Linked DNA regions of Ovis aries. The protein of the gene in region 1 interacts with the protein of each later gene in a pairwise test. Links are inferred from orthologs where the notes say so. Each region holds a gene or a part of one and is shown on either strand. Other genes may lie near its edges.

Evidence for each region.
Region 2: the proteins of EGFR (region 1) and RAPGEF1 interact in a protein complementation assay, tested with the Homo sapiens proteins (3 studies listed by BioGRID and IntAct, with this or other methods). The link is inferred for Ovis aries from reciprocal best matches to the Homo sapiens genes EGFR and RAPGEF1.
Region 3: the proteins of EGFR (region 1) and CRKL interact in binary tests that used the Homo sapiens proteins (3 or more experiments, as listed by UniProt). The link is inferred for Ovis aries from reciprocal best matches to the Homo sapiens genes EGFR and CRKL.
Region 4: the proteins of EGFR (region 1) and SOCS6 interact in a protein complementation assay, tested with the Homo sapiens proteins (3 studies listed by BioGRID and IntAct, with this or other methods). The link is inferred for Ovis aries from reciprocal best matches to the Homo sapiens genes EGFR and SOCS6.
Region 5: the proteins of EGFR (region 1) and RUSC2 interact in a protein complementation assay, tested with the Homo sapiens proteins (2 studies listed by BioGRID and IntAct). The link is inferred for Ovis aries from reciprocal best matches to the Homo sapiens genes EGFR and RUSC2.
Region 6: the proteins of EGFR (region 1) and SOS2 interact in a protein complementation assay, tested with the Homo sapiens proteins (3 studies listed by BioGRID and IntAct, with this or other methods). The link is inferred for Ovis aries from reciprocal best matches to the Homo sapiens genes EGFR and SOS2.
Region 7: the proteins of EGFR (region 1) and MAPK8IP2 interact in binary tests that used the Homo sapiens proteins (3 or more experiments, as listed by UniProt). The link is inferred for Ovis aries from reciprocal best matches to the Homo sapiens genes EGFR and MAPK8IP2.

Annotation. Positions count from the first base shown.
Region 1 is NC_056072.1:941,938-945,437, reverse strand, and holds part of EGFR (epidermal growth factor receptor), read left to right. Parts: intron 1-881; coding exon 882-1,023; intron 1,024-2,263; coding exon 2,264-2,380; intron 2,381-3,500. UniProt on the Homo sapiens protein: Receptor tyrosine kinase binding ligands of the EGF family and activating several signaling cascades to convert extracellular cues into appropriate cellular responses.
Region 2 is NC_056056.1:5,218,886-5,221,322, forward strand, and holds part of RAPGEF1 (rap guanine nucleotide exchange factor 1), read left to right. Parts: intron 1-670; coding exon 671-768; intron 769-1,786; coding exon 1,787-1,915; intron 1,916-2,044; coding exon 2,045-2,195; 3' UTR 2,196-2,437. UniProt on the Homo sapiens protein: Guanine nucleotide-releasing protein that binds to SH3 domain of CRK and GRB2/ASH. Transduces signals from CRK to activate RAS. Involved in cell branching and adhesion mediated by BCAR1-CRK-RAPGEF1 signaling and activation of RAP1.
Region 3 is NC_056070.1:72,322,475-72,326,447, forward strand, and holds the start of CRKL (crk-like protein), read left to right. Parts: upstream 1-1,173; 5' UTR 1,174-1,575; coding exon 1,576-1,886; intron 1,887-3,973. UniProt on the Homo sapiens protein: May mediate the transduction of intracellular signals.
Region 4 is NC_056076.1:7,272,947-7,277,004, reverse strand, and holds the start of SOCS6 (suppressor of cytokine signaling 6), read left to right. Parts: upstream 1-1,258; 5' UTR 1,259-1,354; intron 1,355-1,612; exon of another isoform or gene 1,613-1,813; intron 1,814-4,058. UniProt on the Homo sapiens protein: SOCS family proteins form part of a classical negative feedback system that regulates cytokine signal transduction.
Region 5 is NC_056055.1:52,991,245-52,995,348, reverse strand, and holds the start of RUSC2 (AP-4 complex accessory subunit RUSC2), read left to right. Parts: upstream 1-1,304; 5' UTR 1,305-1,612; intron 1,613-1,826; exon of another isoform or gene 1,827-2,356; intron 2,357-4,104. UniProt on the Homo sapiens protein: Associates with the adapter-like complex 4 (AP-4) and may therefore play a role in vesicular trafficking of proteins at the trans-Golgi network.
Region 6 is NC_056060.1:41,394,667-41,398,869, reverse strand, and holds the start of SOS2 (son of sevenless homolog 2), read left to right. Parts: upstream 1-1,403; 5' UTR 1,404-2,031; coding exon 2,032-2,118; intron 2,119-4,203.
Region 7 is NC_056056.1:225,855,917-225,859,416, forward strand, and holds the end of MAPK8IP2 (C-Jun-amino-terminal kinase-interacting protein 2), read left to right. Parts: intron 1-2,197; coding exon 2,198-2,296; intron 2,297-2,663; coding exon 2,664-2,736; 3' UTR 2,737-3,367; downstream 3,368-3,500. UniProt on the Homo sapiens protein: The JNK-interacting protein (JIP) group of scaffold proteins selectively mediates JNK signaling by aggregating specific components of the MAPK cascade to form a functional JNK signaling module.

The DNA.
Region 1 (3,500 bases):
GCAGCGACCCCTAAAAGGTAGTTAGGCGATTCACCCCTGAAGTGAAGTTAGGCGATCACACTGATCCTCAGGGGCAGGACAGCTGGACCCCCTAAAGCCTCTGCTCTTTCCGCTTGGCTCAGAAGCTTTCTGCTGATTCCCCACCCCATGAGGGTGCTGAAGGCCTCACTGTAGTCCCTGTGACTGCGGAAAGCTTGACCAAGTTCTAGCGTCACTATGGGCCATTGGTGCCACACGGCTGATTATGGGTACCTTGTGTGTCCCGAGACCCCAGGACAGGCAGACAGGGTCCCAAAGTCAGCACTGAGTGAGTTCCAAACTGGGAGACTCACCTTGAGTGGGACCCGGAAGAGTCTATAGTTTTTAGGAACAGGGAAACTAATGTTCCAGAGGCTGGAGGGGCCCTGGGCTTTGGACCCCCTGGTCTGAGGCAATTCTGCCAGGCTGCTGGAGGGAGGCAACACCAGGCTCTTGGTCAGGACCCCTCTGTGTGTGGTCTGATTCTCTCTGCACAACAGCCCCCAGTCAAAGTTCTCTGTGTTTGGTAATAAATTCAAAAATGTATCCTCAAGTGTGGTTTAGGAGGGAAATCAGACTTAAGTTAAGCTGAATAATTTCACTCTAGAATTACTACTCTAGAGTGTGAACTCCTGCCTTATTTTGAAAGTTAAGAGATGTGTTTTTCGCTCCTCATAATCTCCTCAAAACTATTACAGCTAGAACAGTGTATTTAAGAAAAACCATGCTTTGAAGAAAACAGTCTTTCTGCCCCTGTTGAGAGTGCTTTTCTAGTCGTCTGCTCTGACCAAACACCTGGACACAGAGGGCTGTGGCCCCACTCGCCATGGAGTCTGACAATCACACCACCCCTCCCATGGCAGGTCTGCCGCAGGTTCCGTGATGAAGCCACCTGCAAGGACACATGTCCGCCGCTCATGCTCTATGACCCTACCACCTACGAAATGAAGGTCAACCCGCTGGGGAAATACAGCTTTGGCGCCACCTGTGTCAAGAAGTGTCCCCGTGAGTGTCCCTTGTGAGCCCCTTCATTGCCAGGTACCTGTTTTCTCTCTGTCTCCTGCTGAGGTTCCCATATCCCCCACTCAGGGATCCTTGGGTCCCTGTATTCATTTCGGTATCAGGCAGGTGATTTCAGTATCATTTCAGCATCATTTCAGTATCAGGCTGACCCTATCACCTTGGCTGACCCCAAGTTGGTTCTTGTGTCTTGAGCCCAGCCATGGTTGCCCAGAACATTCCATGGTCTGATTGGCACAGACCTATGGCCGTTGGGCCGTTTCCCTGTTTGGCTCTTGTACTCGGCAGGTGTTTATAAGGCCTAAATGAGAGAGAGGTCAGAAGACTGGCCTCCTTTAGTGGTTAACAACCTGGGCATGTTTGTGCCGCTAGGAGCACAGAAGAGAGCTTTTTGCTTGTCGATTGGCTTTGTTTAATTGTTGGGCCTTGGGTTTTGCTTATTTTGTGCTTTACAGGAGACTCTAGTATTTAGGGAAACGGCAACATGAGTGATTTCATAGGAGAGGAAGTGATTTTCAAGAGGGAAGATTAACTAAAAAATATATATATATTTTTAAGAACAATTATGACAGGGAGATTTACAGTACCAGACTTGTGAACATGAAATTTTAAAAGTTTGGAATGACAACAACAACAACAACAAAAAATACTCCACAAAAAGTCATTGTTAGGTAAATGGCAAGATACAGAAAACTTTGCCACAACTGTGACCCAGATATAATCTTTGAGAGAATTTGAAAGCTACAGGAAACCACTCAGAGCCTCAGAGAACATAAGCAGACAGTTTACAGAAAGAAAGTGACAAACATCCAGTAAACGCCCAGAGAAACATCCAGTGGTTCGAGGATCCACTTGGGGAAGTCAAAAGACACAGAGAGAGTTCCTGAAAAGTTTATTACTAACACAAGTTACTTCTCCCTGAGTGAGGCCCGAGGCAGAGTGTGGACCCCGTCGCCCACGGAGACCCGAGGGAATGAGGGTGGCCGAGAGAAGAGTGGCCTTTGTTTTGGGTCACTTTTTTAAATAAATACGAAGCTTTCAGCATCGTAACCAGAGAGCAGCAGCCTGATGGGGAGGCCATGAACACCTTGAACCCCATTCCTCCCTGTTTGCAGCTTTTCCTTCTTGTCCTTAAAGCAAACAGAACCAGAGGGTCAGCCGCCATCCAGGGTCACTATGCCCAGAACACCTGGTGCCCCTCTCACTGCCTTCTCATTGTCCCCAGGGAACTACGTGGTGACAGATCACGGCTCGTGCGTCCGCGCCTGCAGCTCTGACAGCCAGGAGGTAGAGGAAGATGGTGTCCGCAAGTGCAAAAAGTGCGACGGGCCTTGTGCCAAAGGTGGGAAGCTGCCCGGCGTGGGCACAGGGCCCTCTCTGCTTCCAGTCACGGCTAGGCTCCCTGCCCCCAGACCCTCAGCGTCATCCTCAGACCAGATCTGAGGGAGTCTCCAAGCGCAGAAACATGTTCCTTCCTTTCTGCTGTGCGCTATCCCTGGGGTGTCTCCAGTGCCAACGTATCCCTTCTTATCCTGCACTTTATCTTTTATCTTGACATTTTTCAAACACCCAGAAACACTGCAAAATAGTGTAATGAACACCCATATGCCCTGAACTCGAGCTCATCAGTTTTCCGTAATCACCACGTTGTTCTCACTCCGTGTTTGTGTCTCTGTGTGTGTTTTCTGAGTCCTGTGATGACTACAGGTATTATAACACTTCACCCTGCATTGGCTTTTTGTACAAACGGGACATTCTCCCAAGTAACAAAAGACAATTTCACTCTTATCCCATGTTTAACATTGATTCTAGTTTTCAGTTTAATTTCAACTCCCCTGTTATCCCAGTATATCCTTTTTAGCTGCTTTTCAATCAAGAGTCCAGGCTCTTCATTAATTCAAGATCGTTTCTCAGCCCTCTTTTCTCTGATGCTGTGAAGAGTCAAGGCCAGCTGCTCTGACCGCCCCTGTCTGGCCGGGTCATATTTTCAGCGGGGCGCGACACAGATGGAGTGCTGCAGGTAGAGAGTGTCCCACCAGAGGTGCACAGCTCTCATCTCATTACCTCTGTGGCTTCTCTGGCTCAGGGGTAAAGAATCTGCCTGCAATGCATGAGACCTGGATTCGATCACTGGGTCAGCAAGATTCCTTGGAGAAGAAAGTGGTAACCCTCTCCAGGATTCTTGCCTGGAGAATTCCATGGACAGGGGAGCCTGGGTTACAGTCCATGGGGTTGCAAAGAGTTGGACATGACTGAGTGACTAAACCACCTCGATGGCAGAACCGATGGTTCGCCTGAAGTTGCATTCCTTGGTGGTTGTAAGAGTGACTTCCTATTTCTGTCATTTCTTTTATATTTACTAGTGGACATTCTGTTTCTAAAATAGCTTTCTTAGTACCCATGTGAGCTCACTGAACCCTTTTTTATTCAGTTTATGATAGTCCCTCCTCACATTATTCACT
Region 2 (2,437 bases), on another chromosome or scaffold:
GCTGCTGAGCAAACGTGACTGAGTGGCCCAGCCCACCCTGGGATCCGGGAGGCCCCGAGGAGGTGCTGGTCACCCTGAGACCAGAGTAGGCGCGTCCTGGGAAGGGAGGGGAATTCCCATCAGAGGGGACAGAGGCCAGTGTGGCCACATCACAGGAGTCCTGGGGCACCCTCATCCTGGCGTGAGAGCTATTCCTGGGGAAGGGAGGCAAGGCCCACAGGGCTAGGTGTTGGCCAGGCTCCCTGGGAGTCGTCTCCCGACAATATAAAGGGACAGTTATGAAACAGTGGTGTCTGGAGAAGTGGGACATTCCCCCCAGCTGCTCCAGAAACACATAAGAGGGCCTGAGAAGGCAGGGAAGGCTTCCTGGAAGAGGTGACACGTCAAGGTGAGAGGCACGTGACAGGTGAGGGGGCACAGCCCGCCCAGCGTGCAGAGCAGCGAGGTCACCGCCCTCCCCGGTGGGCTCTGCCTTGAGTGTAGAGAGGTGGGAAGGCAGGCTCGAGGGGGGGGGGGGGGGGGGGCAGCACATCCCGGCCTGCGGCGCTGAGCACAGCCAAGCAGCAGCCCTGTGTCCATAGCAGGCCTGGCCTGCCTGCGGGGGGGGCCTGGCTCTGGGTCAGCGCTCGGCGTTGTCGCCATGCTCATGGATGGTGCCTTCTCCCGCCAGGGCTTGGCTGAGTATTGCACGCTGATCGACAGCTCGTCGTCCTTCCGCGCCTACCGGGCTGCCCTCTCGGAGGTGGAGCCGCCCTGCATCCCATACCTGTGAGTACAGCCTCCCTCGGGGTCCCTTCGCTCGCTGCCCCACGGACAAACCCGCGGGGAAAGGTTTCCAACCTGGGCGCTGTGCTTGTACCTAACTTAAAACGTGCTCCTTGTTAGACGGTGGAGATGAGCGAGGGTCCAGTGGCAAGGGCTCGCTCTGCCCACCCGCCCCGTCCCGCTGCTCCTCCACCCCGTCCCTGAGCGTGTGTGGGTGCTCGTGTGAACAGGCCTGTGGCACCGTGCTCTGCTCAGCTGCCCCGGGCCTGGCTGCACCTCACAGCAGCCCGAGGTCCCTCCAGTTTCCCCAGGGACCCTGGGAGTACCTGGCTGAGGCAGCCCTGGACAGGTGCCCCTGTGGGCTGGGACGAGGGTAGGCGTTTTCACCAAAAAGAATCCATGGCACGTGTGCTTGGGAAACAGCAGGAAAAATCAGAGCTAAGTGGGTTTCTTGTGCACGTCAGATTCCTTAGTATGGTAGCAGACAGCGGGGACTTCCAGGAGACAGACAGGAGACTCCGCAGTGACCTGAGGCCGAGTATCCAGGGGCACGTCCCTCAGGCCTGCACCCTCAGAAACGCGGCTCTTATAGCTCACAGCCCCCTCCTTGCCTCCGTCCCACCCCAGCTCTGTGGGCAGCTGCAGGCTGTGCCTTCCCCGCTGGGGGAACTGCCCCGCCCCTCGTCAGGTGGCTTCACGCCCTCTGTGTGAAAGCACGTGACCGTGCCCGATAACCCAGGGGATTGACACCCCCCCACCACCGAGTTTGGGGGTTCTGTTCTCCCATCCCTGTTACTTGCACGTGGTGGACTGTGGCTCTGCTGGGCCAGCACAGGGGTTGCGGGGCTCCCTATGTAGCAGGCAGGCCTGAGCCCACCTTTCCGGAGCCGCAGAGCCTGGGAGTCAGGAGTTCCTGCCAGAAGCAGCACAAGCACCCAGGCACGCTCGTGGAGCGCCAGCCCATAGACCTGCTGCCTTCTGAGCCGCCCCCAGGGTGCTCACCAGCTTGTCTGTCTCCCAGGGGGCTCATCCTGCAGGACCTCACCTTCGTCCACCTGGGGAACCCAGACTACATCGACGGGAAGGTGAACTTCTCCAAACGCTGGCAGCAGTTCAACATCCTGGACAGCATGCGGTGCTTCCAGCAGGCGTGAGTGTGGCCGCCCCGGGGAGCCCCGAGCTCTGGGGGCCAGCGGGGGCACGCCTGCCCCGTGCGTTCGCTGGGGCGGTGGGGGTCCCAGGGCTGTGTGGCCCTCATGGCCGCCCCCTCCTCCCCCAGGCACTATGACATCCGGAGAAACGACGACATCATCAACTTCTTCAACGACTTCAGTGACCACCTGGCCGAGGAGGCCCTGTGGGAACTCTCTCTGAAAATCAAGCCCAGGAACATCGCGAGGAGGAAGACAGACAGAGAAGAGAAGACCTAGGGGCAGCTGCCGCGGGCGAGGAGAGCGCCCGGGAGGCGCAGGGCCGCTCCGAGGCTGGAGGGGCTCGGACCTGTGCGGCGGTGGCGGCCCGGGAGGCGCAGGGCCGCTCCGAGGCTGGAGGGGCTCGGACCGGTGCGGCAGTGGCGGCCCGGGCGGGCCCCTGCCGTGCCAGACAGGCGTCCGGAGCGCGTGGCCGGCTCCATCCTGCACAGCAGCAGAACCCCCGCCATGGCGGAGCCACA
Region 3 (3,973 bases), on another chromosome or scaffold:
AAGCTGTACACCTTAAACTTGTACAGTGCTGTATGTCAACTATCTCTCTATAAAACTGAAAGAAAAATTAATATTAGAAGATGAAAAAAATATGACAAGGAATGATACAGTCAACTGGTAAGTCAGGTTAGGATTGGAACTCAAGCCTTCCTCTTCAAATTCTGAGCTATTCAAATTGTGCCCGAAAGTAACACGACGCGAAAGTATTTGGAGGGAAGCTGAAAACCTGCTTTGCTGAGTCACAAAAGGCCCTAGGCCGTGACGATTCCCCTTGAGTTTACCCGGAAGGAACGTCAGCCATCACGCTGCGACAGTGGTCCCCAGCATCCTGGGCGCCAGGGACCCTTCCGTGGAAGACAGTTTTTCCTCGGGGCGGGGGATGGTTCAAGCGCATTCCTTTCACGCTGCACTTTCTTTCTGTTATTCTTACATCGGCTCCACCTCCCGTCATCAGGCACTGGGTCGCAGAAGCTGGGGACGCCTGCCCTACCTACAGTGCAGGACAGGCTCAGCCCAGCAACGAGATCGGCTCCCCAGGAGTCTAGAGCCGGGCTCCGATGCCCCTCTGGACAGGCGCCTCCACCGGCCGGCGGGGGCGGGGGCGGGGGGTCCCCGACAGTCATTCATTCCGCCCAGGTCTGAGATCAGCGTAGGGCGGGGCGAAGAAGCGCCAGGCCCAGGGCTGAACAAGGCGCACCAAACCCCGCTCCCGTGAAACGGACGGTCCGGCGCGGACGGGGGTGCGGCCAGGGGCCGGGGCTTCTGCGGCGGGGGTCCTGGGGGGGCCAAGGCGGCAAGGGCTCCGAGAGGACGCGGGAGCTTCGCCAGCCACCGCCTGAGCACCCGCGGCGGTCGGCCCCGCCACCCCCTAACCTGGCCGGCCCGGCTGCGCACGGCCCGGGGCCGCGCCCGGGGGCCGGGCCTGGCCCGCGCCGCCCGCTTTGTTCCCGGAGCGGGCTCCAGAAGCGCCGCCTCCCCGCAGCGCCCCCCGGCGGGCCCGGGAGGGAGCGCGGCGCCGCGCGCGGGCGGCGCACGCCCGCCCTCGCGATTGGCCGCGCGGCGTGACGTCACGGGGCGGCGCCGGCGGCCGCCGGGAGCGGGCGCGCGCGCGTGCGCAGTCGCGGGGCGCGGGGGGGGGCGGGGGAGGTGGCCGCCGCTGCGCCCGCGGCCGCCATTTTGTTGCTGTGGCTCTCGGGAGCGGGGCAGGGCTCGGCGGCCCCGGCGGCGCGGCGCTCCCGGGCGGTGTGCGGCTCGGCGCGGCCGCGGGGCTCGGTGCGGAGCGGCGGGGACGCGGGGCCGGCCGCGCGCCGGGGCCAGGGCTGAGCGGAGGCGCCGCGAGCCGCCCTCGCCGCGCTCGGCCGGGCCCGCGCCCGGAGCCGGCTGGGCCCGCGCGGCGGCCCCGGAGCAGGCCGGCGGCCCGGAGGATGTTGCGGGCCCGCGGCCGCGAGGAAGGCGCGGGCGCGGGCCTGTAGGCGCGCGGTGAGCCCGAGGCCCGGCCGGCGCGCAGCCGCCGCGGGCGGGGCGCCCCCAGCGCCGGCGAGAGCGGCCCGCCCGGCCCCCCGCGCGCCGCCCGCCATGTCCTCCGCCAGGTTCGACTCCTCGGACCGCTCGGCCTGGTACATGGGGCCCGTGTCCCGCCAGGAGGCGCAGACGCGGCTCCAGGGCCAGCGCCACGGCGTGTTCCTCGTCCGCGACTCGTCCACCTGCCCGGGGGACTACGTGCTGTCCGTGTCCGAGAACTCGCGGGTGTCCCACTACATCATCAACTCGCTGCCCAACCGCCGCTTCAAGATCGGGGACCAGGAGTTCGAGCACCTGCCGGCGCTGCTGGAGTTCTACAAGATCCACTACCTGGACACCACCACGCTCATCGAGCCGGCGCCCAGGTGCGCGGGGCCGCGGGGCTCGGCGCGGCGGCGCCGGCCGGGGGCGCCGTGGGTGAGGGCGGTGCGTCGGGCCCGGCAGCTCGCGCTGCGGGCGCCCAGTTGGAAAAGGGGCGCTTTCTGCCCTTCGTCGCGTCCTCGGTGCAAATTACCTGCTGAAGCAGGGCGTTGCTCCCGGTCTTGCAGCCGGTTTGGGGCCACGGGTTGAGACTCTGAAGCTAGTCTTCGGCTCCCCGCCCCGCGGGCCCCTCCCTGCCCCCCGCCCTCCCGAGTTTGCACCGCTTTCAGGGTCTCTGAGCTCCGGGGTTGGACCTCCCGGACGGCAGCCTTTGGAAACTCTAGAGATGGAAATGCCTTCGCAGGTAGAAACGAAATGCCTTTACCTGTGAAATATCAGGGCCATATATTGATAGCCTGGTGCCAGGGTTGAAATAAGCCAGGCGTCTGTTTTATAACACATTAACTGAAAATACTGTAGAAGAGGTCGGCTTGAACGAGGAATTTTTTTTTTTTAATAGATTTCCCCCAAGCTGGGCCTTTAATGGACTGGAAATCCATTTGGTTAAATTCCAAGGTGGAATGAGTCTAGACTGTTACTAAGAGGAAATTTTGAATGACACTCCACTGAAGATTCTACGCTAGTTGAATTTCAGATGTCCTTTTTGTACTGAGTTGCATGACTTAGTATCTATTTTAAAATAACCCAGAGTGACACTGAGCATTGGGCATCCCTTTTCATTTGGGCTTCATTATTGGCCTTAATATTTTGCTCGAGGCTTCTTTTGTGCAGATTATGCAAAACTTGAGCTAAAGAGATGGCGTAGGGTTTTAAAAATAAAAGGTATTGATCTTTTCAAGCGTCTGCTTAGAAAGGACAGGGTGCTAATACAGGTTTTTTTCAGGGTGAGATGGTTCTGACTTGATAGATCTGCTGACAAGATAGTAGTCTCAGCTCTGAACATGAGAAGCTGTCGTATTAAAGGGGGACGCACTGGATGCTTCTGTGGACTAGAGGTAGAGAAGAATGAAGCCCTCGCGGTGTAATGACCAGGAGGTTAACTGCTGAGCTAAATGGACTTTAAAAGCTGGGAGACAGGGATTATAAATCAGATACTGCGTAACAAAGGCCTAGCCGCGGCGAGTCTGACTGGCGAGGCCTCCAGGTCCCCGAAGAGCCTGGGAGCTAGAGGCAGCGCTCAGCACAGTGTGATTCCAGCGTGAGAGGCTGGGGGCTCTCGGCTCCCGCAGTGGTGAGGCTTCAGCTGCGTTCGCGTAACTGGCTCTTCTGGCTTGTGAAGGTGACTGAGCGCTCTCTCGGGCACTGACTGGGCCTCGCCGCGCGCCTCAGTGCAGCCGTGAGGGAGGGACTCGAGCCCCTCTGGGTGGAGAGAAAGGGGCGCGGCCCTGGCTTCCCAGTGCCCGCAGCCGCCACCCCCAGCTTTCCCTTCGTGCTGCTTCCCAGATGCCCGTCCTCACCCTCTCCCGCCGCCTCCAGGGAGCCCGCGCTACACGCCCACTCGCGCCGGAGGACCTTTGCTCGGGCCCCACCCGCCCCTCACCGGGCGCGCCTCCCTGCCCTTGGGGCCTTTCCCTGGCGCTGCCCCCGCCTCCAGTTGAGCTTTGCTGTTTCTCCGCCCGCTGCCCCGGGCGTCCCGCTGCCGTCGAGTTTTCCTTCCCCTGGTGTCTCCGAGGGCTGCCGCTGCCCCAGTTGAATGAGATCCTGGCAGGATTCACTTGGTCACACTGAACCTGGATCGCCTCTCCCGGAGCCAGAAACCCGCGGATCTGTGTGATGCGCTTATTACTCAGCTAGTGTAGAAGACAAGGCCGGGCCAGCTTTGGCCAAAGGCAAAAATCAGGGCCGTGTGCTTCCACGCCCCAGGCAGGATGGATGAAGTGGTTAGGCTCTTTCAGGCCTCAGAACCGAGCTCCTGAAGCCAGAGCTTCTGCGCTTTGGCTAATAGTTATTTTTTGGGGTTCATTTTGCTCAGTAAAAAGTGACGACTTACTGGCTTCCTCAGAATTTAAGGACTGATCTCTTTTTTTTGTTGGGGGAGTAGCTTTTTTTTTTTGGCCGTGCAGCGTGTGGG
Region 4 (4,058 bases), on another chromosome or scaffold:
CAGCCAGCCCACTGCCACCTTCATGCTCATCAGCCCTGCTCTCTGGCCTCCAACTGCTGGCCTTCTTCAGACCAGCTAAGGAAACACCAGTCCGATTTCCAGTCTGTCCCACGTCTTCTCTTTCTGAACGGGCTTACCACAAGGGGGGTGGGTTGAAAAGTTTGTTTCATCTCTGTTGTTGTTCAGTGGCTCAGTCGTGTCTGACTCTTCTCGACCTCGTGGACTGCAGCAGGCTTCCCTGTCCTTCACTCTTTCTCAGGGTTTGTTCAAACTCATGTCCATTGAGTCGGTGATGCCATCCAACCATCTCATCCTCTGTCCTGTTTCATCTCTAATTAATAAGTACTATTTTCACTAACCTGACTGGTCTATTTCAGTCAACATTCACTGTGATTGGACATCTGAGAACTGAGTTGCATTTAAGTCAGATTAACAATAATAATAGGAGTTTATTTTTACTTATTTTTTGGCCTCTCTCTGGGCATGTGGGGCTATTAGTTCGCAGATCACGGATGAAATCTGCACCCCTTGCAATGCAAGCAGGGAGTCTTAACCAGTGGACCACCAGGGAAGACCCTGCAGGAATTTAACAACAAATTGAAATGAGAGCTAAAGACGACAGCGGTCTGGTGAATCACATGTAACAGATGACATCAACCTTATATATATATACTATTCAGTCATACAAACCAGCTGAATCGCCTGACAATGTAATTTTTAAATTATTAATCTAGATTTGGTGTTTAGATGAGAATTACATATTCAACATTCATAAGAATTAAGATCAATTACTTGAACTTTTAAAAAACTAACAGCTTTACCGAGGTATAACTTCGGAAAAACTTTAAGACTTTCTCCCCCTAGCCTTGTTTCCTTTGTAAAAGCTCCATGCTATTCAAGAAATACAACTTTCAAAGCCAACACTAATTCTCGTTAGACTTTAATGATACTTATCTTTAACTACTTTTCTTCGAATGAAAAGAGAAATAAAAAATAAAAAATGCTTCTCGTTGACAAAAGTCCAATTTGCTGTTAATTCTATATGCAGGTAGCAAAGAATCCACAGAGTTTGGTTCCCAAAAAGTGAGTCAAGTTACCAACACGCAACTTAACATCACGCTCCCTTGGAACTCGGCGGCACAAACAATAAACTATTTCTGCATAAAAAAACCCCACTAACAAGGACTAAAGGGAAAAGCAGATGGGCTGAAACAAGGAGTAAGTTTTTCTTTTAATCAGCACATCTTACGGTTAAGCTAGAGAAAGGTGTGGGAAGGGCCCGGCTCGGGCGCGCGCGCTCGGCCACTCTGTCCCGCCGTCCGCGGGGGCCGGGTGGTCCCGGTCACTGCGCCAGGTAAGCGGACCCTCGACCGCAGGGGACGAGGCCGGGGCCGGCGCCCGAGGGCCGAGGACACGGTCCTTCCCACGTCCGCCCGGCCGCCGCGGAGGCGAGGCTGCAAAGGCGGCGGATGAGCGGGCGGGCGGGCGCGCAGGGGCCGGGGGCGCCCGGAGGGCGGGTGCGGGCGCCCGGACCCCGGCGCGCACCGGCCCCGGCCCCGCCCCGCCCCGCCGGCCCGCCCCCCGCGCCGACGCCTGCCTGCGCCGCGGGCCCAGAGGTGGGCGCGGGGCGGCCCGCTCGGCTCCTCGGCGGCGGCTCCTCTCGGGCCGGCGGCCGGCGCGCCGCTCCTGGAGGAGGCGGCGAGGCGGGAGGAAGAGGAGGAGGAAGGCGGCGGGAGGCGGAGTTGCGGGCGAGCAGGGCCGAGCGCGGCAGTCGCGCCGGCGCGGGGCGAGGACGCGGAGCGGCCGCCGCCGGGTGAGCGTCTGCGGCGCGGGGCTGGGCCGCCCGCCCGCTCCCCTCGGGCGCCGGGGGCGCCGCGGCTCCGCGGGGCGGCGCGGGGCTGCTCCGGCGCGGGCGGCCCGGGGAGCGGCCAGGGCCTCGGCGGGTCCGCGGGCGGGCTTCGGGCCGGCGGGGAGCGGCGTCCGGGAAGCCGGGCCGGGGCGCCGGGCTGGGGAGGCCCGAGGCCTGCTTCCGCCGCGCGCGCCGGCCCGACCCCGCGGCCTCTGGCCCTTCGCCGCGCGCGCCGGGCCCTGGCCGCTGCCTTTGTTGCCCGCAGCCCGGCAGGGAGAGGCCGGGGCTCGGCGAGGCCTGGGGCGGCGGCGCGGGGCCTGCGCGCTCGGACCCCGGGGCCGGCGGGCGCGCGCGGGAGGCCCGGGCCGCGGCGTGGCCGGGACCCCGGTGGGCTCCGCGCGGGGACGCGCCGCCGGACCCTCGTGGCCGTGGGCACGGGAGGACGTGAGCCCGCCCTCGGGTCCGGGCCGGGTCGCGGTGTTCGGTTCGCTTCGCGGACACCTTGGTGCCTCCCTTCTGGGTCACATCTATTGACATTTGTCCCGGGGCAGGTCCCGGCCCAGAACTTGGAACGTGTGCGGTCGTCTGCAGGCCAACTTCACGTTTAGTCGGCATGTGGAATTCGGGGTTCCCAGCCCCACTTTTTGGAACTCAGGGCCAGGTGGGAATATGGGGACAGACCTCAGGCTTCCGGTAGTGAAATATAATAATGTTGGATTCAGTTCCACGAATGTTTTCTTGAAACGTCTGCCCTGGAAAAGGAGACCTGCCACTTTACTGTGGATGAGGATGGAGAACGTAGTAATCACAGTTACGATGTGAATGAGACATAAAACGTTGCCCAAATACGTTCTTCATGGACTGCGGTCCTTGGCTGCACACATGTCTGTCATCAAACAAAAGTAAACTGCCCTCTCCTTTAAGATGAAACGGCCGAGGTGTTCCCAGCCGCAGTAGGTGTGCAGTGATCTTGACTTTTTTTTTTCTTTTTCTGGTTAAAGCAACAAATATCACAACATGAAATCTACTTAGCTTACTTGAATGAATGAGTGTTCAGTGGAATATGTAGTGCTGTGGGGAATGTTTTATTTAAAAACATGAATGGCGCTGTTTATCAAGTTTCACAGAGAAAACCTGGAAACAGCCTGTGATCTGCTTCCGGTGCGGTCTTATTCCTCAGTATTTCTGCATCAGGTAGCATGGATATGGTTAAGTTTCAGAGGCCACGCCTGCTCCAAGCAGAATATGTGACCAACCCTTTGGTTCCGACAGGGTCCCTCAGGGTTTCTTGTTGCCTTTGGGGAGGCTGTCAGACTGGCCTTGGACTTAACTAGGATTCTTAGAAGAGCTCACCTGTGACCTGACAAGTACTTTCTACCGGTCTGGATAGGATCCCCCATCTTATTCACCGAAACCTTTACCTTTTGGGGGCCTTCCTTCAGTATCTCTTTTGAAGAACTTTTTCCCCTTGTGATCTTTAAATACCTCCTGAATTGGTGGGAAGTACCTGGCACTGCCCCTTTCCCTTCTCTTACTGGGAAGGTGGGCAGGCCTTAGACATGGCCTCCCCAGGACCCAGGGGCACACCCTTGGGTGTCACCTGACACCCTCCCCTGTAGCACCTTGTCGGGGAGTGGCCCAGCAGGGGTTGAGGTGCCATTGACCTGGGCTACAGCCAACCTGGGCAGTGCCCTGGGAGGAAAACTCAGCTGTGCTGACTGGATTCCTAATCATCTCAGGCTTCTTTTAATGGCCCTCTTTTTAGGGAGCAGAAGCAAGCATCTTCTTAAAGCCTGTCTTGCTAGGTAACCATCACTCTTTAGAGAAAACTCTGGTAATTTTCTCCCTTGTGATCAGTTTTCAAGAAGCTGTTTTTTTTTTACTAGTATTTCCTTTTATTTGGCTCATGGAAGTAATCCTGTGATCTTATTTCAGAGTTATAATGTAGCTTCCCTGGTGGCTCAGATGGTAAAGATTCCGCCTGCAATGTGGAAGATCCGGGTTTGATCCCTGGGTTGGGAAGATCCCCTGGAGAAGAAAATGGCAACCCACTCCAGTGTTCTTGGCTGGGAAATCTCAGTAGTCTGGTGGGCTACTGTCCATGGGATCGCAAAGAGTTGGACACACTGAGCGACTAATACAGTACTCCAAAAAAAAGGAAACTGTCAGGATCATTTCTGAGTTTGTGTCAATACTGTTATTATTCGCT
Region 5 (4,104 bases), on another chromosome or scaffold:
GGAGCAGGAAGCACATGAGTTCTGATAAAGAAAAAAATATTCATTACACTTGTTAAAGATGGTAAGGCAAACTTTATTTGCAGGGGCAGGGCAGGGGGGAGGGTAGGGAGTGGGCCGGGGATCATGGACTTGCTATAGGAACCACCGCAATGAGGTGCTGCAGTGGGGAAGAGATTGAGCTCAACTCAGATCCCAACAAAGACAAGTGATAATTTATTAGCCAAGCAGCAGGGTAGAGGTCAGTGGCTGGAAAATTACAGCCTTCATCTATTCTGGCTGCTATAATAAAACACCACAGGGACTCCACTGGTGGTCCAGTGGTTAGCCTTTGTGCTCCAAAGGCACGGGGCCGGGGTTTGGTCCTTGGTTGGGACCGAAGGTCCTGCATGCTGCGTGCCATGGCTAAAAAACACATCACACTACAGACTGGGTAGCTTATAAACAAATTTCTCAGAGTTCTAGAGCCTATAAGTCAGACCAAGGTGCCAGCCTGGCCACTAGGTGCTCTCTGGTCAGCTACTTCCCCATCTGAAGGACTGGGCTAGGGAGCTCCATGAGATATCTTCTGTGACGCTACTAATCCTAATCATGCAAGATCCTCATGACCTAATCACCTCTCAAAGGCCCCCCCTACTAATGTCTGGGGGTTAGGATTTCAACATAAGAATTTTGGAGGGACATGAGCATAGCAACTACTAAGAAGAAACATCAGAGGAAAGGGGGATTCTTGGTAGATCAACTCAACAGAATTCTTGCTGAAAGCAGGCCAAGGTGATAAATACCAAGGACGGTCAGATATCAAGAGCAGAGAATTTCCAATAAACTGATTTAATAGGATTCTTGCTTAAACTGCATTCTACAAGGACAAAGAGGGAAGCCCAAAGTCAAGCCTGGTCCAGGGCCGACTCAGAAGAACCTGATTAAATTTTTGGCCAAAGGAGACAGTCTTTGTTCCGTTCTAGACTTTACCAGGCTTATTCATCCTGGCTATGCTGGAGTGCTTTTAAAAATATCAAGGCTGGGCACCACCCAACCCCTACTCCACCCTACCCGTGCTTCTGGGTCAATTGGTCTCTGCTGAGGTCAGGCTTTAGTTTTGTTTTGCTGTTTTTCCCAAGAGGTTCTACTGCGGTGTCAGGCAGAGAATCGCTCCGTTAGGCGATGGCGGATGCGCAAATGCACCTGCCTTCCACACGCCAGTTAAGCCGCGCGCGAGGATTTTCTGGGTTCCAGCACAGCCCAGCCACTTAGCCGGCACCACCCCGACGGGGCGGGGCACAGGCCGCAGAAGGCGGGGCCACGGCAGAAGCGCCGCGGCTCCACTCTCGGGAAAGCACTGCGCGTGACTCGCCGCGCTCAATGCAGAGGGTGCCAGGAGGTGGCCGAGCACCCCCACTGGCACAGCGGGCCGAACGACGGGCCATCCCAAGGGGCGGCATGAGGGCATTTCAGATCGGACCATCGGCGCCACAGCTGCAGGGGAGGACCGGGCGTTACCAAGCTGTCTGAGAGAAGGGGGACGACTGCTTGTCCCGGCTGCAACGCGGCCCCTGCAGGGCGCGAGACGCTGCCGCTTCCTGCGCGGTAGGACCACGCCGAGGCGAGAAACCAGGTAGGACGCGTCTTTGGGGCAGGCGAGGTCCCGGAGATCCGCTGTCCTCGCGTTCCAAATGATCCCTTGGGAGAAAGGCCCTCAGTTTGCTCACCTATCCAGTCCTTAGCGCGCACTCCCTTCCCTTCAGCCCTTCCCCCTCGTCCCGTCAGCCCCACCCTTCGGTCTTGCTTGACCCTCTGGACCAACCTCATCTTCAGTCCTATCCTTTCAGTTCCGCCATCCACTGAATCCTCAGTCACCCAGGACAAGCTATCATTTGGGGCATCACCGCAGATCCACCCTAACCGTCTCCTCAAACTGTCCCTTGGAGACACCCCCTCAGCTGACTCGCGCCCAGGGGTCATCGTTGTCCCCACATCTCCTGTGACGGCCGTGGAGGAGCGCGCGTGGCCGCTCAGCACCCAGCCCGGCGACTGCGGCGGGAGTCCTCTGCACGCCGGGTCGTTTGCACCCTCCGCCCCTTTGGCCCCTGGTTCCCACCTTGATGCCTGTTTGAGCTGGGCTGGGATTGCTCTCTCACATCCAGTTTTACCTTGGGAAAACCTGTGGCCTGGCATTTTGCCAGCCCCCTGCTACCACACTTACCTGCTGCAAAGGGTACCGTGATCCTGTTGCCCAGGGCTGCCTTGGGATGCCAGGCTGGCCCTGAGGACACCAGGGGGCTGCCCTGGAGGCAAGGACCGTACACGATTCGTTTGTATCTCCAGTGCCCAGCACAGTGTCTGGCACATGGTAGACTCGGTAAATATTTGATGAGTGAGTGAATGAATGAAACCAGTGCAGAGGCTGTGAGGCAGTGTTTCATGGGAAGACGTGTCACCAGTTACATGAATGGGGGGAAAACGAAGGGCGTCTGGGGATTACTTGCGGTGCTCATGGTGGGAGCATAAAACTGAACATACTCAGTCTCTCGGTTCATGCATCTAATTTCATTTACATAGAAGCTTCTTTTTATTAGCTGTTTTACCTTTATGTTATGCTTACCAAAAAGAAAAAATTAAGGTCCAAGGCTGCAGAAATTTTTATTGGTCAGTCCTTCAGTGGCTGCCCAGATAATCTTTAAAGAGCTTTACCCAGGTGACCCCCCTCCTCTTGCCCTAGAGACTATCTGCTCCCTCTAGGGAAAAATTGTGGAGGCTAGCTACATCCTTCAAACCTGATTCAGTGTACCTGATCAGCTGGTGCTTCAGGACAGGTTGGAGGAATGACCTCAGTTACTTTACCCTTTTAATTCTTGGATACCTCCCCTCCCTCCTCCTCTCCACTGGAGAGGGGAGACATCCCAGCCTGGCCTAGTATTAGACTTATCAAAGATTCCTAAATACTACTATAGTATGATCAGGCCATATGAGCCATTTATATCTCAGGAGACCAGCATCAGGCAGGGATTACCACTATCTGTATAGTGTCAGTAATAAACAAGAACACAGGCCTTTTAAAGATGGAATTCTCAAAGAACAGAGCCTGAAATCTGTTTTTGTTGATTCCTAAGAGGATGACATGAACAGATTCAAGTTTCTGAAGCTAAGACGGGGTTCGGCGATCTCAGTTTTGGCCCAGGGTCCGTGGGGAAATAGATGATACTGCTGACTGATGAAACAATGGCTGGAAAGCTGCAGGAGTTTATAAGTAGTTGCCTGACTACTAGAGGCATTATGGTCACCGGGGCTCAGAGTACTGTTGTTGTTCAGTCACTAAGTTGTGTCTGACTCTTTGCGACCCCATGAACTGTAGCACACCAGGCTTCCCTGTCCTTCACTATCTCCCTGAGCTTGCTCAAACTCATATCCATTGAGTCAGTGATTCCATCCAACCATCTCATCCTCTGTGACCGCCTTCTCCTCTTGCCCTCAATCTTTCCCAGCATCAGGGTCTTTTCCAATGAGTCAGCTCTTGGCATCAAGTGGCCAAAGTATTGGAGCTTCAGCATCAGTCCTTCCAATGAATATTCTGGGTTGATTTCCTTTAGGATTGACTGGTTTGATCTCGTTGCTGTCTACTCCAGAGTCTACTCCAGCACCACAGTTCGAAAGTGTCAGTTCAGAGTATTAGTAGGTAAAAACTGTGACTAGAGTTTCTTGAGGGGCTCCGTGGAAATTACTAATGGTAATGGTTTCAGGGAATTGGGAGATCGCACCGCTGTCTCTGGTGTTCTGCTATGCCAGTCCCTCCTCACTCACATATGTGCTCAGTCATGTTCGACTCTGCGTGTCCCTCCTACTGTATGGCTGTAGGGCATTTACCATCATTGTTTCTCTTCTGCTCTGAGCCAGGTCAAAATCTGAATTCCTCTGATTTTTATGTTAAGTGTCTAAGGTCCCTTTTTGAGGCCAGTCCTTCCTGACTGGGAGCTGAGTATGCTCTCACTCATTTCTAGCTTTGGTTTATCCTTCTCTACTTTTTCTTTCTCCCATTCTCTGACTTTGTAACTTTAGAAAGTAAGTCTTGGATCACAGATACTCAAAGCAGGAAGGGGCTCCTGAGCAGAA
Region 6 (4,203 bases), on another chromosome or scaffold:
TGTCTTGAGACCTGATTTGACTCAGAGAAGGCTCCTAATCTCCTTAGCCAAGAATGAAACTTCCCAGCTTCACTTTCCTATAAGAAAATACAACCCCAGTCTAATAGCTGGACAGCCTAGCAGTTTACAGCTGAAGTTCAAGAAGAGACAGAAAAGTAAAGAGGTCTAGATTAGCCAAGGCCTTTGCCCTCACTTATGGAAAGATTCTTTGGAGAGACAAGCATTTCATTATTCTACCTTTTATCCTAATTATATGGGGATGTGGATATGGCCATTCCTTTTTAAAGGAAGTATTTCTTATTTACAGTAGTTTCAGTTGTACAACATAACTCAAATTTTTAAATATATTTTGCTCTTCTTGAACTTATTACAAAATAATAGCTATATTTCCTTGCTGTACCACATATCCTTGTTACTTATCTATTTGAAAAGGTTCTTGATTCAGTGGATACTCGGATTAGAAAAATGATCTCCTAAGTTTTCCAACTCTGCCATTATGATTTTGCTAAAATGACAAAATGATGCTTGTTTTAACTGCTCTGCTACTGATTTTGAACTGATTTTGAGGCGTGGCACTGTTTTTTGGTACCTTGTTCTTCCTTTCCCTTCCTCTGGGATGTTGGCTGGCAACGATCTATTGTAATTCATGTATGTGCTCAGCATCTTTAGTGGGATGAAATTTATGCTCTCGATAAAGTTTCCAGAGTCTTCAGTTCAGGAGGGGTTAAGGTCTAGGGATCTTTTGGGGGTTGCTAGTGAGTAGGGCTGGCCCCGAGGGCGGATCCAGGTTTTGTGGGACCTGACACCTCCACACCGCCACAATTTGGAGAACACCATTAAGAAAACAATGCAAAAATATAGAAAGTTTTACCAAAACGGTATGAAATTTCTGTGAACACATAAGGCCTCGTGAAAGTGAAGGACTTTTAAGTTCAAGCTTGAATAACGCTGCCGTCTACCTTTTTTGGCCCTACTATGCGCCAAGGACTTTCCACTCCTCACCTTCTTCAGTCCCCACAACACTACGCTATGAAATAGTTACATATACAGGAGTCATGTAGAACACAAATACATTAAACATCGTGTCCAGCCTGAAAACCCCTTTCTTTCCAACTCCCTATATTGCTTCCCACGACTGGAGTTCTGAGGCTTGAGGAATGGCATCGAGTCAGGATTGTCGCGGGAAAGAGTGTGTAAAACGCAGTCAGGGAGCTAGGGAGTGTTTCTGAAACTGGCTCGCAGAGAGCGCCCTGGAGACGCGCACTCCCGAGGGAAGGCCCCCGCGCCCAGCCGGCGCCTGTGCCAGCTCTGCGGCGCGCATGCTCCGTGAGGGGCTGCTCCAGCTTCTCTGGTTAATGAGCGCGCGGCGGAGGGGGCGGGCCGAGCCGCGGCTGCTGGGACCTGAGCTTGGCGGCGGCCCTGGGGCGCTGTGCGCGGCTGCTGAAGGGGCGGCGGCGGCCGGCACTGTGCACGCAGGAGTGTGGCTTGCTCGCCCGACGCGCACGCCCGGTCGGTCCCCAGGGCCCTCTGGAGGTGACTCGGGCGGCCCGGGCAGAGCAGCGTTGCCGGTTGGGAGGGCGGAGATGAGGCGATGAGGACACGAGCTGCCGCCGCCTCTGTCCGCCTACTACGGCCGTAGTGGGAGTCGGGGCGGGGGCGAGGCCAGCTGTACCCCCGCCGGGCTGCGAACCCAGACAAAGGAGGAGCAGCAGCCTGAGAAGCGGGCCAGAGCCACCGGGAAAGGAGGCCGCCGCTTTAGTCGCAGCCGAGGGCCGCTCGGGCTCACGGGCCGCCGCGCTTCCCCTGAGGACGCTGCGCGAGGCGAGGTCTCGGGGCCGAGGAAGCCGCCCCCGGAGCCCCCGCCCGCCCGCCGGCGCCGCCTCCGAGCCGCCTCGGCCGTAGCCGCGGCCCGGGCGGGAGGCGGCGGCGGCCGGTGAGGCTAGGCGGCCCGCGCCCTGCCTGTCAGATCACCGGTCCGGCCCGTTTCGGCCCGCGGGCTGCCCCCGATGCGGAGGCGCTGCCGCCGGGGCCATGCAGCAGGCGCCGCAGCCTTACGAGTTCTACAGCGAAGAGAACAGTCCGAAATGGCGGGGACTGTTGGTCTCGGCCCTGCGGAAGGTCAGTGCTGGTGCCCGGGCGGCCTCGGGGCCCGAGGGAGGTGCCGGGGCCGAGGCAGGCGGGCGGGGCGCGAGCCACGGCCCGAGCCGCGGCCCCTTGGACGCTCTAACGGGGAGCTGCACGCCTTCCTCGCGCTCGGCGCCGGAGGGCCCAGCGCTTTCTCTCCGGCCGGCGACGAGGGGCTTGTGATTGCCTTTGCGTCCCAAAGGACGTTTTCTCAAGTTATTGCCTGGCCCCGGAAGGAAGGTTTTGTTATGATCATAAAACTGGATTTCATGTTGCAGTCGTTTCGTCAGGCGACTTCCGCCGTTGACCAATTTGTTGTCCTCGGGCTGGATTCGGGCAAGAGAAAGTCCCGCTGGTATTTAGACAGTTTCTAAAACAAAAGCACGTTTCTAGGCCGAGTAATCACTTTTAATTAAATTCTTTGGGGCTGTTCCCTTAGGCAGTTTGAAGGGTGAAGGGTGTCCACTCACTTAAGAGGTTGTAATTTTTTTTTTTTTGGTGATGGATGTGTTTCTCGATTGAGAAATGTCAGTGAGGCATGATATTGATTTTACAATTCTTGAGGTCAATTTAAAGTGCCTCCACCCTTCCTGCCATAGGCGTCCCCCTGTTTAGGAGAGATTTCCCCTGTAAAATTTGGTCATTTTCTTCACTGAGTGCAATTTATTACTTAGAATCATTTTAAGGGGATGAAAAACTCTCAGCTCATGAAAAATCAATCTTTTTAGTTTGGGTACATCGCTAGGGTGCATCTGTCCTGTAGATGATGTCAGTTTTCCTCTGAATTTAGTTAATAATGGTACTATTTTTTTAATATGTAATAATCATAGGTTTTTATAGTAAAGCCTTTTGTAAGGTCAAGACGTTTAAAGAGTGTAAATGGGGGCAGAAGAAGATAAACATACTGAGCATGGGCTTTCCTTGCCATTGATACAGATGTAGTTCCTATTACCTTTTGTGCAAAATAACCAAATATAAATTTTAAAATAATAAGGAATAAATGTTAATTTAAAATACTACTCCGGAAAATAAATCTTCATACATTAAATTTCTCTAAGTGAAAAGAAGTAGTAGTATTTTGAAGTAAAAAACATTCTCTCACGTATTCAAGTTTCAGATTTGCCGTTTTTTCACGATTCTTAGGACGAGGTATTGCCTTCCTTGGGCCAAACGTGTAATATTTTTTAAAGAATTTGGTGGAGATGGTTAAGAGCAGCTAGACAGTTATCATTTCGCAGGTATTTTAGGTGTTAAAGTATTACATTGACCTTCCTTCCGTGGGCAACCCGATTCTATAAGGAGAGGGAAGGAAATGGCAAGTGTGCTGCTGAGTGGTGACAATGAACACTGGCCTGAGTTAAAAGCAAAGAGGGAAATGCTCAGATAGTGATTGAACCTTCTACCACATAGACAGAAATGTGAATGCAATTATCAGGTAGGCCTATGTTGTTGGCAGCGTAGGTCTCTTACTAGTATTTTCTGGTAGCAAATAGAATTTGAGTATGTGTTGCATAACTTTTTCAATAGGTAGCTTTGACCCTAATAATCCTTCATGCACAGATACAGATGTATATCTTCAGGTTAGTCTGGAAATAAACCCAGGGTAGCATCCGATCCTAGTTCTTTGCTTTGAGTCTGTTATTTTGCATTTATATGTTGTGCTTGTTTTCTTGGTTCTCAGATGCCGTGTAGCTCTCTATTGCCTTATTGCACAGTTCTTGTTTGTCCTTTGCTTATGGAATATATACAGCTAAGGAAATCTGGCCTTTTGAGCTGAATTAAAAAAACAATTTTTATTTAACTTATTACATTACTGCTTTTCTAGAATTGAGGTATATTCCCATGGAACACTTTTTTTTTAAATGTTGTTGCAGATTTTTTGATGTTTGTAATTCCAGATTATCTCCAGTTTTGTGGTCGTGCAGCACGTAGGTTTATAGTGCTTGCTAGATTTGTAGTTCTTGAGGAGTTCAAGGTTCACTCTGCAGATGAGTTAAATTCTGGTCTATACTTGGCACACGTGACCTTGTACAGTGAGAATTCCTGCTACTTAGGCAGAGGCTCTGTCATCACATTCAA
Region 7 (3,500 bases), on another chromosome or scaffold:
GGGTGGGTCTTCTTGGCATGGAGCCAGCTGAGCCAGGGCCAGGGGTGAGAGGCACTAGGGGGTCTTTAGGGGAGCCAGATGAGGCAGGAGGGACGCGGAGGACCTGTGCCCTTCTGACCCTGCCGAGGAGCTTGTAGTTAACCCCATCGGCAGTGGGGTGGTGGGTGATGCCGTCAGGCTGACCAGCTGGCTCTGCCTACTGTGCAAGCGGAAGGACCCAAGTGCTGCTGGCCAGAGCCAGGAGGTGCGGGGCCCTCCAAGTGGCGTGTCCGGGCGGGTTTTGGGAGGTGGGACAGGCAGGCCTGAGCTGACTGGATGTAGAGACCAGTCTGCAGGGAGAATCAGGTGACCTGGCTGTTGAGCGGTTGGTGGCCCACACAGCAACGGGCCTGGCAGGCCGGCTGTGCAGTCTTCAGTTGCAGACGTGGTGGGGTTGTGGTGTCCGTTGTTACTGGGGTCTGGAGGATGGAAGAGAGACCTCGGGGCAGGTATGTTTTGGAGCAGGCGGATAACTTCGGCCATGAGGCAGACAAGATGGCCAGGCCGAGAGAGAGGAGGTGGGAGTGAGAGCAGCGGCGTACCCGGCGGGTGGAGGCCGGCCGTCCTGCCCAGCTGGACTCTGCGCCGTGCCGGTGAGGCGAGCCGTGCGGCACAGTGCTGTGTGCCCCAGAGGAGGTGATGGGGGCTGAGCCTCGAGGCACACGGAGCCCTGCCGGGGCCCGGAGGTGCTGCTGGTATTTGAGGCCGCAGGTCCTCAAGGGAGGCAGACCGTGAGAAGCACACTCTGTTCCCGGGGTTGAGGTCGGGTGTGTGCCGTTTGCACGCTTGTGGTGAGACTGGGGGCGCACTGTCTGCTGACTGGGCAGTGGTTTCCACCCTTAGCAGGGCAGAGCCCCGTCTGGCTGCTTCTCCATTGAGAGGAAGCTGATTTGACGGGCTGGAGATCTGGGTAGGGGACCGGGGCTCAGACCAGGCCATGGGGTGGACTGTGCCGTGAGGACCGGCGTGCACGGCAGCCATGTGGACGGTGGCCTTGAGAGAGAAGGATGGCAGAGGGAGACGGGGCGCCACAGGCTCGGGCCCCCAGGCCAGACCCTGACCGTGTGCAGCTCCGAGGTTCGCCGGCCAGGAAGGGACCGAGGAGCTGCTGTCCCGGCCCCGAGCTTCCTGATATTCGCTGCTCCAGAGCCCAGCCCAGGCCCCTCAGGGAGGAGGCACAGGGAGACGGTGCCTGGTAGCTCAGGGGTGAGGTTGGCCTCTGCTGGGTGCCTGGGGTCTGGACAAGGGAGGAGTGAGTGGTGGCTGTGATCACAGGCGGTAGAGAGCGTGCCCAGGGTGCTGCAGGCTTGCTGTCTGTCCGCGGTGTGTGTTTGACCCTTTCTGGGCCTTGGTGCCGTCCCCTTGAGACCAGCCTCACCGCACTGTTGTGAGGTTTCTGCCGGTTATTAATGAAAAGAGCTTGCTTAGGCCGGTGCCTGGCCCTTGCTCCGAATCCAGTCATCTGAGCGTGGCGCTCGAGACAAGGCCCACACACGCATGCTGTGCTGGCGATGACGCTGTCCTGTGGGCTCCCGTCTGGAGGAGCCACAAAGCCCTGACCCCCCAGCATGGACGGGACGGGCCACAGCTGGGTGAGGGTCCCGAGCCTCCTGAGGCTGGCCGCTGACAGGCCCTCCCTCTGGACAGTAGTTTTTGTTGATGTCTTGCTGAGAAGAAGGGCAGGTTCAGGAAAGCCACACAGGGAACAGAGCTGGGCCCCCGGAGCTGGGGTACAAGCTTCTCCTCCAGGAGGACTCTTGTGCACATCAGGGCCCACGTCAAGCCCACAGCGGAGCCTGAAAAGTACTGTGGGTGTGCAGGACCAGAGGTGGAGCTGGGCAGGCTCCAGGCCTCAGGGGAAGGACGGGGCGGGGTCACCCGGGACGCCCAGCAGACTGGGGAGAGACCACCTCGCCGTGCGGCCTGGGGGCAGGCTCCGGGCGCTGGCTCGGGAGGAAGAAGATGCAGCTGGACACCCTTGTAGACACATTAACAAAGATCGCTAACTCCTCATGGTGCCCAGCACTGTGCTCCTGGACAGAGATCATGTGACCTGCACACTCCCCAGCCCTGCCCGCCCTGCACCCTGTGCTCTGACCCGGGGGCCGGTGCTCCATGCCCTGACACCCCTGTGCGCTTGCTGCCCCACCCCCCACAGCTATTTTGGCTTCATCACCAAACACCCGCTGCTGAGCCGCTTTGCCTGCCACGTCTTTGTCTCCCAGGAGTCGATGAGGCCCGTGGCCCAGAGTGTGGGGTGAGTGGGTCTGGAGGGTGGGCCAGTGCACATGATGGCCAGGACCGGGACGGGGTGCTGGCCTGGTGCCCTGGCGCACGCAGCTGCGGGGAGGGTGGGGATGAGGTTTGGGAGGCGTGGGGGCGGGGGGGGTCAGATGGCAGCGGAGGGTGTCAAGGGGCCTGGGCGGGTGGTCCTCGGCGGGTGGTCCTCAGTGTGGGAGCGGCATTCCACGGGGTGGGGGGGGTGGGGGTAGGGAAGGCCACACTGGACCCAGACAATGAGGAGCCAGGTCCGGGTCAGGAGGCTGAGGGCTGAAGCTGGGGCAGTGTGGCGGGCCTGGGTGGGGCCGTGGGGCCCCGGGCCTGAGGATGCTCTCCCCCTGAAGCCGCGCCTTCCTGGAGTACTACCAGCAGCACCTGGAGTATGCCTGCCCCACAGAGGACATCTACCTGGAGTAGCTGCCCCGCTCTCCTGCCCCGGGAGCAGCCAGGGCTGGGGCCACCTCAGGAGGCTGCCTCAGCTTCGGCAAGGACTGGACTGGGGGCCCGTGGGGCCTGACACCTGGGGGGCCGCGGGCTGTGCGGGATTGCGCATCCTCGCCCGGGGGGGCCCTGCGCCTCTGCCCCCCACGCGTCCCCCTGCCACCTGGGGCTGCCCGCAGCCCCCCCAAACCCCGTCTGTCTCTGCTCCTCTGTGCTGCGAACTCTCACCCTCTGCTCTTCACTGTGGGGTCGGAACTGGGAGGTGCGTGGGGAGGAAGCTCCCAGGTGACCCCTCTTGCTCGTCCCCCGTGATTTATAAAGGAGTTTTAATTTTTATAGTGAATATCAAGGGATCGTCCTGTCCTCATCATGGGGACAAAGAGAGGGCCCCCCATACTGCCCCACTTGGCTCTCGGGGGACACAGGGAGGGGTTCCCCAGGAGGGCCTTGGTGGGGACTAGGAGTCGTCCCTGATGCTCACCCTGAGTCCCAGACGCTGCTAGGAGGAGGGGGCCCTGGCCTGGGCCCCAACCACACCAGCATCTGCTTTGCCGCTGCAAACACTCCCCGCAGTCCAGCACCTCAATAAACTTTCTGCTTGGTGTGACCCTGGCTATTTCTGGGGTGAGGGAAGCAGATACAGGGCTGGGGACCAGGTGCTGCCCACAGCAGCGGGGGCCGAGGGGCCAGGGTGCTGGAGCTGCTGTCTGAAGCTCTGCCGGGCTCCCGGTGTGGTGTGT